Rhinolophus ferrumequinum: one gene and its partner. Each later gene encodes a partner of the first gene's protein in a complex. Links are inferred from orthologs where the notes say so. Each region holds a gene or a part of one and is shown in the gene's direction. Other genes may lie near its edges.

Evidence for each region. The genes of interacting proteins can lie anywhere in the genome.
Region 2: EXOSC9 (region 1) and EXOSC5 share a complex: the UniProt entries of both Homo sapiens proteins name them as parts of the RNA exosome core complex. The link is inferred for Rhinolophus ferrumequinum from reciprocal best matches to the Homo sapiens genes EXOSC9 and EXOSC5.

What each region holds. Positions count from the first base shown.
Region 1 is NC_046301.1:4,659,461-4,667,343, forward strand, and holds the start of EXOSC9 (exosome complex component RRP45), read left to right. Parts: upstream 1-4,802; 5' UTR 4,803-4,921; coding exon 4,922-4,987; intron 4,988-5,287; coding exon 5,288-5,382; intron 5,383-6,060; coding exon 6,061-6,180; intron 6,181-6,284; coding exon 6,285-6,387; intron 6,388-7,269; coding exon 7,270-7,407; intron 7,408-7,883. UniProt on the Homo sapiens protein: Non-catalytic component of the RNA exosome complex which has 3'->5' exoribonuclease activity and participates in a multitude of cellular RNA processing and degradation events.
Region 2 is NC_046298.1:39,685,671-39,692,774, reverse strand, and holds the start of EXOSC5 (exosome complex component RRP46), read left to right. Parts: upstream 1-4,060; 5' UTR 4,061-4,128; coding exon 4,129-4,264; intron 4,265-7,104. Other genes in the region: BCKDHA (2-oxoisovalerate dehydrogenase subunit alpha, mitochondrial), read right to left, coding at 3,516-3,620. UniProt on the Homo sapiens protein: Non-catalytic component of the RNA exosome complex which has 3'->5' exoribonuclease activity and participates in a multitude of cellular RNA processing and degradation events.

The sequences.
Region 1 (7,883 bases):
GTTGATCTCCCTTAATAAAGAATAAGTATTGTAATGGAGGAAACTTAGTAAGAACAGTCACTGTAACTAATCTTTATTATTGCTAAATGTGGGCTGAGAGCTACTCCAAGCGCTTTGCACATAGTATTTAATCCGCAGCACCACTTTATGAGGGTATTATTAGCTGCATTTTTTTTCCAGAAAGGTTTACACCTTGCCCAAGGTCACCCAGCTCATAAGCTGCAGCTGGAAGTTCATCCAGGCCATTGGCTCTGGAGCCTGAGCTCCTTATCTATTAAACTCCTGCTCATGAAACCACGTCCACGTGTGCTAAGTACTTGCTAAAGAACCTCAAAGAAGTCACCTTATTTGTCTCCAGCAACCTTGCTCACATCCTATTTGATCATCTTGAATGCCACACTCCACTTACATACTCCTTCATGCCCACATTTTCAGGCTCCCTCAAACGCCTCCTCATCGGAGACGCTCCTTCCTGATTATGCTCTCCTGACCCTCCTCTTCCCCTGGCCTGGCTTTACTTTTCTTTATATCACTTATCACTGTCAGCCATTATTCATGTGCTTGTCTGCAGATGATTGGACTGTCCACCTGTCTCTATAACATAAGCTCTAAGGGACTGTGACTATTGTGTGTATTGCATTGTCCCAGTGCTTAGAATAGAGCCTGGCACATAGTAGGACCACAGGAAATACTTGTATAAATGACTAGATTCTTACAGAGTTTTACTTCTTACACAATCCAATTTTTACCAGTGATATCAAATGAAAAGTAAAGAAAAATACCACCATCAAACATAATATATAATCTCTATAATTTCAATCTTCCCTCCCAGCCCCTGTTTATAAGCAGATACTGGTATTTTACAGATAAGTACTCATAACTGAGATTCTAATACGCATTCTGCCTTTTCAGATAACATTATTGGATCAGATTAAAAAGTCCATTACTGGATGGATTTTTGTCAATGACTTTCAACAAACTACATTTTCAGGCTCAGTTTATTTATTTACTTTTTAAAGCAAAAGCAAAGTTGGCCAAGGCTTTTCCATTTGCGTCCTAGAAGTCATTATTTCCCCCTGCAATTTTTATTACCAGTGGTAGAGATTACAGTTCTAGTCCATTAGTACTTAAGTAGAGCAAGATTCTTGAGATACAAACCAGGCTTTCCTTTCAGGCAACCCGTTAGATCATTAAAAAATGTCCTGGTCACTAAAGAAAGCACACTTCAGTGACACAGATCTAGCATTTTATGTACCACAAATTCCTTCGCAAAATGTTTCAGCAGCCTTTTGATGAGCTCAGAAGTTGCAAAGAATGTCAAATGGAGATTCCTTTGCACTATCAACAAGATGGAAACAGGCCAGTGAAACATGAAAGAAAGAAGTAGTACTTACCTCAGGAGAGTTGGTTCTCGAAATTGCTTTATCTGCCTACTGATTCTTAGCAGCTTAAACAACACACATTCATCACCAAGTTTCTATGAGTCAGGAAACTAGGCAGAGCCAAGTGAGGTCTGCTTAATGGCCTCTCTTAGGGACGCAATCAAGACATCAGCCAGGGCTGGGTCTCAACTGAAAGCACAACTTGAATGGACCTGTCTGCAACTCACCTACGTGATGGTGGGCTGTACTCAGTTTCATGTGGGCTGCGGATTGTGGGGCTCAACACCTCCATGGCTGTTGGATGGAGGACACCCCCTCACATAGAAACTTGCTTCACAAACCCAACAAGGGACAGAATCTTCTAGCAAGATAGAAGTTACATTCTCTGCAATCTAATCACAGACGTGTCATCCCCTCCACGTTGAGATATCTATTGGTTAGAGGCAGGTCACTGAAAGGGGGAGGATTACACAGGCCCTGAATACCAGGAGGTGGGCATCATGGGGGTCATCTCAGAAGCTGCCCACCACTGAAGTTCTCTCTCAAAATAATGCTGCATTGCTCGCTAAAGAGATGTGACACCTACCACCTTCTGGCCTGGCTGTCCACTGTTACCTCACATAGAGTCAGCATCGTCTGGGGTTCTCCCACTTCTCCTGAAGTAGCTGCTTCTGCAACAAACTAAGCCTCCCTTCCTAGGCAACTTAAGAAAGAGGAAAACAAGAAATAAGGTAGAAACTTCCCCTCTTAAATCATTAACTTGAGTAAAGAGTCAATCAATGATATAGGTGCAACATCCCTGGGCTTTGGGGCTGAAAGAGTGGCTAAGGTTGTACAAATGACATATTCTGTAAGTCTCTCCATGAAGAGCCAACACCACTTTTGCACGTCCAGCTTCTCCTATGGCTCATTGTTAGCAGTTCAGTGCCAGTCGCATTCTCTCTCGTGTGCAAGCTGTGGAGTTACAGTTGGACCTGCTCACGTCTCTGCATTTATGAGCCCTACTTCATCACTGTACTTCTAATTGCGTGCCAAGCCTAAGCACAAGAAACTGAGTTCAGATAATCTAAGAACAGCAGCTTTCTTCTCTACATAATGTCAACTGTAAAGTACTCAAGAGAGGAAGTCAAGATCCTCACAGAGACAGCAAAAGAACTCGTTCAGGGCTAAGGCGAAGATCACCCGCTTGGCACAGAAATGGGTTCCCATTTACGAGACGCAGTACAGCGCAGCGGTTACGAATACAGTCTCTTGAGACAGACCGCTTGGGTATGAATCCTGCTCCTAGGATTCACTAGCTGTGTGACCCTGGGCTGTGTGACTCTCTGTGCCTTGGGTTCCCCCCCCCCCAAAATAATACTTTTACCTACCTTACAGGGTAATTATTAGGATTAATATTTGTAAGTGCTTAAATTAGGGCCTGGCACATAGTAAGTGTTATATGCATGTTTGCTAAAAGGAAACGGCTATAGGTTTTCACTTCATGCGACTTCCAGTTTCTGGTCCAACAGTAGTAAGCTTGGAAGTGGTCACTCCACACAACATGACAAAAACTGAGCAAATGAAAACTCTACACCTTTTCCTAGATCCATCACAGAAGTGAGATCACAGGACAAACTACTGCCACATGATGTGGAGAGGCAGGTAGGGGGTACAGGAAGGACACGGACATCTGAAGAGCTACCGTGTCCAGAACACTGTGTTAGGTGCTTTCATCCCCACCACTTAACACAAAGCAATTATTATTTCTAACCTAAAGAAGCCCTCACTCAGCAGGATTATTTAACTCACCCAAAGTCCATTTGAGCTGAAGTATATCTGAAACCAAAAGTCTATTCTTCCACAGCCAAACTGCCTCCCAGGATAGACGGTTTCAATAAAGGCCTATTTCATTTCTGAAGGGAAAGAGAAATTACTAAATGTCCATAGAAGAATCCAAGGATTTAAATGATGAACTTAACCAGGAATTATAGTGAAACTGTACTATAAATACAAACTTACATTGTTAAAGAACTTAAAGGGCCTGTACCCTGTATTCTTCCTTATTTTGAAAACCAGTCCACGATCTGAGCTCGTGGACATAATTTCTGTGCACTTTCCTCCTACTTCACAATTCCTGTCTCCAGACAATGTCAGCTCATCCTATCTCAGTCTTGGCTAATGTTGCTTCCTTTGCTTGAAACACTTTTCCTTTCCTCCAGATGGTATCATGGCTGTTCCTTCTCATCACTAAGGATTTACTTAACTCAAAGGTCACCTCTCCAAAGTGACCTCTTCCTGCAAATACCCCTATTAAAGTAGCATCCCCATTCTCGGATAGCACTTAGTCCGTGAACTTATTTTTCTTGCTTGTCTCCTCCAAAGAGAATATAAATTCCTTGAGGGACAGTATCTGTCCACCCGGCTTATCCAGCACTTGAATTATTCTTGGAACACAGGAGGGCCTCACAGATAACTAGGTACATGAATTGCAAGTGTTACAAAGTGAGACTAAAATGCATCACTGATAGAAAAAAAAAAAAACCTGTAAGAGACAAAAGAAAGGAATAGAGCCTGCCATAGGATTTCCAGTGCCTACCGCCTCTGAAGCAAATAGAAACAAAATAATGCTATGCAAACATGTCAGTAATAGCGCTTACACCAGACTGGGCACTGTTCTAAGCATGTACAGACGTCTGTCACTCCAGTTTTGCAGATAAGTACAATGAAGCACATAGGCTAACTGGACTAGGGTCACAGAAGTAGAAAACGGCCGAGTCATTATTTGAACCCAAGTAGTTGGGTTTCCTGCATTTAATACTCCTTGATGCTGCCTCTCCAAAGAAAGCTTAGTGGTTTGGCAGCAGGGACACGCTGTTTCCTCTATACCCATAAAAATAAGTCAATCGGTTTAAAATAACTGGGGCGACTGTAAGAAATCAACAGCACATTTTGTTCCAGCCAATGGTAGTTATAACACCACTGGTTACGAAGTGGGACAGCCTCAGTTTCTGTCACCTTCTCAGGTCTCCGAGGTTTCACTGCAGCTCGTGGCTCAACTTTCTTCCCCCTCCTCTCCTCCTGCGCCCCTACATTCAGTGTTTCTCCCCTGAATCTGCCGGACACTCTGCCTCTGCAGCGTCCTGGTGAACAAACGTCGCCTTCCTCACCAGTAAAACAGCAGGAACACCTGTGCGGCCCACCCCGCTACAACTGAGGAAAGGGTGCCGTGAGAGCGCCACACTGCAATTCATTTCCATCCCTGACGCTTACTTCCGGGTCCTTCTGTCCCCTACGCTTGAGGAGACAAGACTCAGACCTTTCCGCTCAGAAGTGCGCCCCCCTCGGCGGCCGGGCTCTCGGCGGCCCGCTCGGCCCGCGCCATCCTCGCTGGGCGCGTGCGCACTAGCGGCCGCCAGCCTTCGCGTTCGCACCTCGGGCCGCCGAGCCCTGATGACGTAGAGGTCCTGCGCCTCCCGGCGAGCAGGGTGCGCGTGGAGAAGCTCGGGTCCCCGTCTCCGTACGGATTCCGGTGCCCCTGGGTCCCGGGACCCGACATCATGAAAGAGACACCACTTTCAAACTGCGAGCGCCGCTTCCTCCTCCGCGCCATCGAGGAGAAGAAGGTAAACGGTCCCGGGGAGCTTCGGCTGCTCGGGTCTCCCGGCCCGCGGCAGTCTTCCGGCTGGGACACAGACCTGGTCCCCGCAGGCCCCCGGAGCCCCTGGGGGACGGCCGGTGCGTCCCTCGTCCACCAGGCTTTATTTGGCTACAGGGGGTTCTTTGCCCGGGCACCTAGTTTCTACTTTCCTGGGGCGGAGGCGGAGGATCCCGCTTCCCTCCGAGGGCTTCGCCCAGGGCCCGGGCTCAGAGTAGCTGCCCAGTATCTGTTGAGGTGAATAAGCTGGTGTATATTGTGTTTCCAGCGCCTGGATGGCAGACAAACCTACGACTATAGGAACATCAGAATCTCATTTGGAACCGATTATGGGTGCTGTATTGTGGAACTTGGGAAAACAAGGTAACTTTGGCTTCAAATTAAACATAAGCTCAACGGGGAAAAGTTTAAAAGAACCTAACTGACTTAGTTGTTTACAGAGCAGCTAACAATCCTGCACGTTATTTTGTTTAGCTGCAAAAATAAGTGTATTTTCTTTAATGCAAGGTGCTTTATAGTCACGTTTTAAATTTTAAATCGTAAATGTACATTCTGTCACATGAATTTGTTTCCTTCAGTTGTCAGTAAGTAGGTCCTACTTTCCTTTTTCCTGCGTGACATGAGAATTAGATTTTTAATATTCATTTGGCGGTTGTGAGGACGTTGGTCAGATAATATTGGCCAACCATGCATGCCATAGGAAAACTCTTAAGAAATCTCAAGTTTTCGTGCCATCTTGTATCAGTAAATATTTATTTTAGAAAAGAGAAGTTAAGGGGATTTGTTTTTTTTAAAACGATCTGTGGAATAGTCAGTATTGCAATGAGATGTTTTTTCCTGTCATCTCTTTGGGTATGCCACTATGTATCTTATTCCTGTATATATTCTGCCACTACATATGTAATATCAACCTCTGATATATCATGATGAGTATGTTATTACTCAGAATATGATTGAAACTTAATTGGTATCTGTTTTAGTTTTTTTGTTAATTGGAAAGGCAATATATTTAGTTAACAGATTTGTACTTTATCTTTGCAGAGTTCTTGGACAGGTTTCCTGTGAACTTGTTTCTCCAAAACTCAACAGGGCAACAGAAGGTATTCTTTTTTTTAACCTTGAACTCTCTCAGATGGCTGCCCCAGCTTTTGAACCCGGCAGGTATTTTAATTTTCTTCTAAGCTGCTTTAACCAGAGGAGAATCTAATAGCAGTGAGGTATTGTTTTAACGCTTGGTTGACATTAGCCCATTCCTATTTTCATAGGCAGTCAGATCTCTTGGTGAAGTTGAATCGTCTCTTGGAAAGATGTCTAAGAAATTCGAAGTGTATAGACACTGAATCTCTCTGTGTTGTTGCTGGTGAAAAGGTGGGAAATCTGCTCAAAATTCTTAATCTTAGCATGAGTATTGTTGATTACGTTAATTCTTAGAGCTTCTTTAACTCAGGTTTACTTCACTTCAAATGTTCCTGAGAGCCAGCCATAGAACTTTGTGTCATTTCTCTGTGAAGGAACAAAAAACATTGATAAAAGTAGCAACTTGGATTTGTGAAAAAATGTCTTACTCAAAGAACTTGCGGTTTTTCATATGTCTTTATTTATTTTCTTATGTTGTTTGACTTGATAAGCAGATGGTTTCCTTTTTTTAATGAATGAAAAACTGAGGAACAGATTAAATCCTTCATTTGGATAGGTTTATTGACTTATACAAGGCTACACAGTGAGTCCGTGGTAGGCTGACATTGGAAATCTTACTCTCAATAAATTATTCTGCATGATGACATTAGTACTTTTTCCTTGATTAGGGTATTTCGACCATCTTTTGTGACTCCAGAAGTCACTTAGCCTTTCCACATTCCATACTTGAATATGACACTTCCTATTTGCATTACTTGTAAGATTATCATTTGTCAAGTAAAACCTAAGGGTTTGAGGTTTTTAAGTTAGGAGACAATAAAAATATAATTAGTTTTGGAGATAGGGAAATCTTAGTGTTAAATGTAGAATGGCTCTATATATTTAGGGCTTATATTTTGCTGTTGTGAAATGATTCATATAAAGGTGAACTGGTGGTATTTCAGATATTGGTCTGGCTTAACATTTTTCTAAATACAGTTTTATTGATACAATAGGAGGAATAATCACGTTTTAACAGCAGAAGAAAAATTTGCATACAGTGTTACTTTTCCTTTTAAAAGGCCACTGGTTGTGATCAGTTAGGATTTATTTTTGTTTTAAATTCACATTCAGGTTTGGCAAATACGAGTGGACCTGCATTTATTAAATCATGATGGAAATATTATTGATGCTGCCAGCATTGCTGCCATTGTAGCCTTGTGTCACTTCCGAAGGCCTGATGTGTCCGTCCAAGGAGATGAAGTGACACTGGTAAGCTCCCCGATGTGAGCTAGGCCTCTTTCTGTGAATGAATGAATATCCTTCACGTGCAGGCAACCTGTTAGTAGTAAAGGCTTGTAGATGGAAACAAGGTATGTTCTAAAATTTGTTCGTAAAGAAAAACTACCCTTGAAACTCTTAGATCTCCTGTATTGAAATGTCTGTCAAAAAGCACACTCTAGCCTGGTTTTCTAGAATAGAACGAGATGATTTCTTCTTTGGACCAAGCATTAGATGGAGTGTTTAGGGGCCACATGTGAAAAATACACTCTTCTCAGCACAGTGAGATGGTCGTGCTTACTCTGTGGCGAAGTTCATCAGAAATACCTGGCCAGTTTGTTAAAACATTGCTAGGCTTCACCCTCAGTAGGAAGGTTAGTAGGACCTATCAGTTTGTACTTCTATCAGCTCCCAGGTGATATGGATGCTGCTGGTGCGAGGACCACATTTCGAAAACTGTTGACCTA
Region 2 (7,104 bases), on another chromosome or scaffold:
GAAAAAGAGGTCTGGTTCCTTAAGACACAGCCAAGAGGGAGATGGACCCATACAATTAGATCAGTAAGGACCATCTCCATTCATCCCACAATACACACAGGGCACCAACCACTTGGAGACACTGCAGAGGGTACTAGAGCCCAGACAGGCTGTCTGATCAGTTGGGTCAGAGAAATAACATCCCTGCTAATTCACACAGGGAGCTCTAGGTGCTCCCTGAAATTCCAACAGGGCAGGAACTCTAGTTACCCATTTGCTAAGCAAAGAGAAGTGAAATGACTTGGCTGAGGTCCCACTTGCTTCTTGGGGTGGTGGCTGAGAAACTGACTCAGGACTCCGTGACAATCAAGTCTCCCTCCTGTTCTCCCTGCGCACTAACCTATCTTCTAGCGACTGGAGGGGGAGGGAGGAAGGCAGAATCAGGCAAATGCCTCCACGGTGAAAGGAGGGGCAGACAGGCAGGGAGAAATAAGGCAGCCCCAGCCGTCCTCCCAACCCAGCCACCAGAACAACCCAATCTGTGCACTACAGTCTGTTCCCCCCCACAAGGCGCTATCTCCTGGCTCCACTTTGAACGGCTAAAATTGCACCATCCAACACAAAAGCCAGAAGCCACTTATGTCTATTTAAATTCATTAAAATTAAGTAAGATGCTCCTTGACTGACAATGGTTGAAGTCCAAAAAAACCCAGCATAAACTGAAAATACCATAAATCAAAAATATATTTAAGGGGATGGCCCGGTGGCTCAGACGGTTGGAGCTCCGTGCTCCTAACTCCGAAGGCTGCCGGTTGGATTCCCACATGGGCCAGTGGGCTCTCAACCACAGGGTTGCCGGTTCAACTCCTCGAGTCCCACAGGGATGGTGGGCTCTGCCCCCTGCAACTAAGATTGAACACGGCACCTTGAGCTGAGCTGCCTCCCAGATGGCTCAGTTGGGTGGAGCACGGGCTCTCAACCACAAGGTTGCCGGTTCGACTCCCACAAGGGATGGTGGGCAGCGCCCCCTGCAACTAGGAACGGCAACTGGACCTGGAGCTGAGCTGCGCCCTCCACAACTAAGACTGAAAGGACAACTTGAAGCTGAACGGCACCCTCCACAACTAAGATTGACGGGACAACAACTTGACTTGGAAAAAGTCCTGGAAGTACACACTGTTCCCCAATAAGGTCCTGTTCCCCTTCCCCAATAAAATCTTAAAAAAAAACACACACACACATTTAAAACACCTGACCTACTGAACATCAGAGCTTAGCCTCACCTACCTTGAGCGAGCTCAGAATGCTTACATTAGCCTACAACGGGGCGATTATCTTGAGTTTGTCTCAAGAGTCACTGCCTTCCTTTTTCCTCTCATCAGAAGCAGGAGACACAGATGTGCGTTTTGTAGACATGACAGGGTGTGAAAACACAATATGCAAAAAGCGCTGGCAACACAGAACACTGTAGAGTATTAGCTGTTCGCCCTCGTGAGCGTATGGCTGACTGGGGGCCCACTGCCTCTGTCCAGCGTCACGAGGAAGTACCGTACTGCATATCATATCGCCAGCCGAGGAAAAGATCGAAATTCAAAATTGAAACAAGTTTTCTACTGAATGTGTATTGCTTTCCCACCATCATAAAGTTGAAAAATGTTAAGTCGAACCATCATAAGTTGGCAACTGTCTGTAAAGTGAAAACTTCGGTCCCTCAGTGGCACTAGCTACATTTCAGGCTCAGTAGCCACGTGTGGTTAGTGGCTACTGTACTGAACAGTGCAGATATAAAACACTTCCATCACTGCAAAAAGTTCTATTGACAGCCTGGCCTAAAATCTTTGATTAAATGCTACTCCTCCTTCCTTCCACTCAAAAAAAAAAAAAAAGTGTTATTTTATATCTTAGACCAAGTGGAAGAAATAAAAGAGGGGAAGAAAAAACAGGGACTCCAAAAATATACATACTTAAAAATATATGTAAATAAAAAGTAGGGATTCTGAAAGACCTCCTCCTCCTGTCGCGCACCCCTCCCACCAAAAAAAAAAAAAAAGAAATGAACGAGGGAAGGGCAGCAGGGTGACTGAGTCAAGAAGGAAGAATATTTTTTTTTAATTTATTGGGGTGAGAAACAATATTTAATCAACCACAAATGACCCTTCCCTACACTTTCACCAGTCCTGCCCATCTCGCACTGACTCAGCCAACAGGCTCCTGTGACTGAGAACAGCTTTTTTTTACTGCTTTAAAAAAAAAACAAAGCAACACAGACAAACCCAAAGGCAGGAGACTGCCCTACCCACATCCTGCCCCAGCAGCCCTTCCAAAATCCAGACGCCCTTCCAAGGATCCCTCCCCTCATTCCCGACCCATCCTCTTCATCCTCCTCCCATGTTTCTCCTCTTATCTAGAGCTCCTTCCCACAGCTTCCAGCTTTCCTATGTTCTGGATTGGAGGGTCAGAGGGTCAGACCCAACACCACAAGATCCTGACAAATTCTCTCCAAGGCCCTCACCAACCCAGGCTCTACCCAGGTCACCCTTCTTCTCCCTCCCTTTCCTCCTCCCTCACTTTCAAAAGTGGCCAACGTTCCTATTGTCCTTATCATATGCCAGGGCCAATTCTTAGCATTCTATATATTTAATTTTCACAACAATACTATGTAGTGCCACTGTTAGCATTTTCCCGAGGGGGAAAGAAATTAGGTCCAGAGAGCAGCAATCCCTTGCCCAAGGCTACACAGCTGTAAACTTGTAGATTTGGGATATAAAACCACGGTGGTCTTGCTTCATAACCTACCTTCTAAACAACTATTCTCTTATTGTGAAACTTCAGTTCATAGTTCTAAGGTAGCCCACAGGGACTTCCAGTTCGATGTGTTTCTAAAAAATGTGGACAAAGTGCCCTGTGGACCCCTCTCCCTCGTTTTCTCCTCTCATTACTTCAACAAATATTTACTGATCATCTCCTTTATAGAGTGATCAAAACAGACAAGATCCCTGTCCTGGTACTTGGTGAGGCGGCCCAGGACCAAACAACTTTTTTATGCCATCCATTTAAAAATCAGAATTGCAGCAAAGGAGCAAAGAAATACAGAGCACTATGAAAGCCGGTAGCAGGGGACGTGATCTCTCTTTTCTCCTCTTTGAAGGTGGGGGTTCTTGACCGAACACAAAGTCTTCCCCTCACTAAGGCAGTTTCACTCTCCACCCCCCGTGGGCAAAGGTCTCCTCTCCTTCTCTGGTCTCTCCAGGGGGCCACCCCTCCCGTGGGGGGTGGGTGGCAACTAATGAGGAACCCCCCCCTCTTTTTCCAAGTTGTATCCCTCCTTCAGGATCCCCAAAGAAGCTGCCTCGCTTTTCCTCTTTTAAGGAAGTGGAAGGTCTCCCTTTGAGTGTCCTCTCCAAGTGGTTCTCCCTACCCTTGTCCCTTCTGTGACAGCCCTTCCTTCTCTCCCTGCAGGGACCCCACACTCTAAAGACAGCGTTGACACCCCTAGTCCCCCTTGGGGAAAACTCCCCGGTGCCCCAGGTACTCACAGTTCTAGCCAGCCGCCGAACCCCAAGCCGCCGCAGGAGCAGGCCAACATAGCGCGAGCCTCTACTTGGTCCCCAAATCCGCGCCGCGCCAGCCGCCATCGCCATCTTGACCAACAACAACTGCTCTGCGCTCCTCCCCTCTCCTCCGCGAGACTGGGAGCTGCCCCTTCCTGAGCCTTACTCAAATGCCAGCACCACCCTGCCAAGAAACCACCTGCTACTAGTCCTGCGGTCTCTACGACATCTATATATGGGTGTATGAAACAACCTAGCTACCCAAAAATTACTCTGATCGCCTCATCACAGTTGTTTCTGTAACAGGCAAAGAAAAGGGCAACGTGACCAGAGCCTCAGGATTTTAAGGCCCGGGGGCCTCGGGTAGGACGAGCCCATGCCAAGGCCCGCCCCGCCTTCTCTACTGTCCAATGCTCCTTCTAGAATTGTGAGGCAGGAGGGGGCGGGGCCAGGTTGTTAGTAAACGGGGAGCCACGTGCGGGCCCCCGAGCTGGGCTGTCCGGGATCGGCGCGTGCGCACTGGGTACGCCGCCTGTACGCAAGCGCGCACTCTGTGCGGAAGCGACAGCGCGCGTGGTTTGGTCTTGTGGAGGGGGCGATGCAGACTGACGCCAAGATCCGCACTGCGGGTGGAACAGAGCCGGGCCCTCAGGGCCCCGGCTGCAGCCTCCGGCACTTTGCCTGCGAACAGAACCTGTTGTCCCGGCCGGATGGTTCTGCCTCTTTCTTGCAAGGTGAGAACTTAAGCCAGGTAAATACTGCCGGAGCCACGGCCATCCAGGTCGTATTTGTTTTAGGGGGCGCCAAAGGTGTAACGTGCAAAGAATGCCCACCTCTTTTGATACTAGTAGGTAAATGTCGCTCCTGAACTGGTACAGAACGTCTTCTTCAGGTGGATACTACTAAATACGTTAGGATGCAAATATCTCTCCCGACTAGTAGGGAGAAGATATCTCCACCCTGGTAAATGATTATAAGGAGAGAGGTGCAGACCTCCCCATAAGCGTGAATACTCCAGAACAGGGAAAATCAAACCAAGATAAATGTCCCCCTTGATTTGATTTCCTCCTCCTCCACACACACACACACCCCTACCCCTGAGTCCTTACGTCCCAGGCAGAGGCAAACCTGCCAATTTGCATAAATGCCCCATTACCGGCTTAATTTACTCCCTGCAATGGCAGATCTTTCACCCAAGTAAATACTTTTCATGTCATAGGTGATGTCTGCACCCTGGTAGGAGATTTTCCCCACCCCCACCCCACCAATTGGGTAAATATCCCTTTGACAGGGATACACATCTCTCCATGTGAGTAAATATCCCTAACATTGGAGCAGGTCTTGCCTATTGGGTAAGTATTCCCTTCCTCTAGCTAAATACCTCTCAAACTCCCTGACCCGGGTAAATAATTCCTCTAAAGATAGGCCTAAGGATTACCCCTATAGATGCTTCAGTTCTCTCCCTAGGGCACTAGCTTCTACTCAATTACAAACCTGCTTTCATTCATTTCTTCATTCATTGGACACATGTATTTGTGCCAAGTACCGTTCCAGGCACTGAGAATATATCAATAAAAATATTTTAAATCCCTGACCTAATGGAATTTACACCCTAATAAAAAAGACAGACAGTAAATAAGATAACTAAGTAAAATGTTATGGAGAAAAATATAGTAGGAAAGGGGAATAGAGTACGCCCGAGAGGGTTGCAGTCTTAAATAGGATGGTCAGAAAAGGCTGCAGTAAGATGGTAACATTTGAATAAAGACCTAGAGGTAAGGGAGCAAACCCTGAAAATAAACAGGAGTGAAGAGCGAAAGCATCCCAAGCGTGAGGAATAGCAGGTGCAAAGGCCTTGAGGCAAGAACTTGCTTGATGTGTTTGAGGAAGTGAGACCAGTGTGCTGGAGCAGTGAGTGAGAGGAGGTTTGGAGAGAGGTACTGAAGCTTGCCCATCGTACAAGTTTATGGCTTAGTGAATGAGGTGGGAGCCATTGGAAGTTTTGCTCAGAGGAGTGACATGATCTGAATATATTTTAACAGAATCTCTCTGGATTCAGTGTTGCCTGGAGATGGTATGGGGAAAGGGGGAGGTCATGGTGGCCCAGACCAGAGTGGAAGCAATGGAGGTGGTGAAATTCTGGATGTATTTTGTTGGTAAAACCGACAAAATTTGCAGATGGTTTGGTTTGGGGGTATGAGAAGAGAGGAATCATGCTAAGGTTTTTGCCCAGATCGGCTGTGCTAGGGCAAGATGAGTTCAGTGTGGAACATGAAGTTTGCGGTGCCTAGTGGATACTACAGTGGCAATCTGGACCGGGCCATTGGACATACAAGTCTGGAATTCAGAGGAGGGACCCAATCTGGACATACCATATGAAATCCTCTGGCTATCGATGGTATTTTGAGCTCTTGATTGAATGAAATCACCTAGAAAAGTGGAGTGTAGATGGGAAAGAGAAGAGGTCCCAGGACCAAGCCCTGAGTCTTCTCACTTGTGAGGAACTACTGTGTTTCCCCGAAAATAAGACCTAGCTGGACAATCAGCTCTAATGTATCTCTTGGAGCAAAATTAACATAAGATTCAGTCTTATTTTACTATACAGGTCTCAATATATAATATATAATAATATATAATATAAGCAAAATCAATAGAAGACCCAGTATTGTATTATATTACATTATATTGTATTATATCATATTATATTAGACCTGGTCTTATAGTAAAATAAGACTGGGTCTTATATTAATTTTTGCTCCAAAAGACGCATTAGAGCTGATTGTCCTGCTAGGTCTTGTTTTGGGGGAAACACTGTAGCAGAAGACATTGAGAAGGAGCAGCCAGTAAGACAGGAGAAAAACTGAAAGAGGGCGGTGACCTAGAGCCCAGAGAAGGCGTTTGAGATGTGAAGGTCTGACTAGCTACATCAGTCCTACTGAGGGGTTGCATCACATGAGGATGGAACAGACCTGGGGGTTGATTGGTGATGCTGTCAAGAGATATTCCAGTGGAGTGGCGGGGTCAAGGAAAAGAGGAAAAGGAGATAGCAAATGGAGACAGCTCCTCAGGAGCTTGGCTGTAAGAGGATCAGATTCATGGGGCCGGAGTTGAAGATGGATGTGGGTCTGGAGAGGAGAGAATTGCTCTAGAGAATTGCTGGTGCCATGTAGCGGAGAAGGTGAGAGGAAGGACTCCTGTGCTTAAGGGGACGGCAGACCGCTCATCGGGAGTAAGAGGAATAAAGACCCCAGCGTGGATCTAGTTCTTCTTGGGTAACTTCGCCCTTCAGGGTAGATTCTCCGGGAGCACAGAGAACCCCTCAGTTGTGTGGCAGCTCTTCCTCCCTCAGGAAAAACAGCCCCAACAGAGGACCTTCCCAGTCCCACCCCCAGGCTTAGCTGTCTTGCTAAAATCAGACGCCTGGAGTTTGTTAGCGCCTTCCTGTTCTAAAACCCCAAAGCCCCAGGACCTTGGAGCAAGGGGAGTCCTTGAAGACCCTTAAAGGTGTGTTCCAGGTGCTTTTGGCCTCAGAATCTCTGGTGAGCTTAAAACGAAGAGCCCCAGAACCCACCCT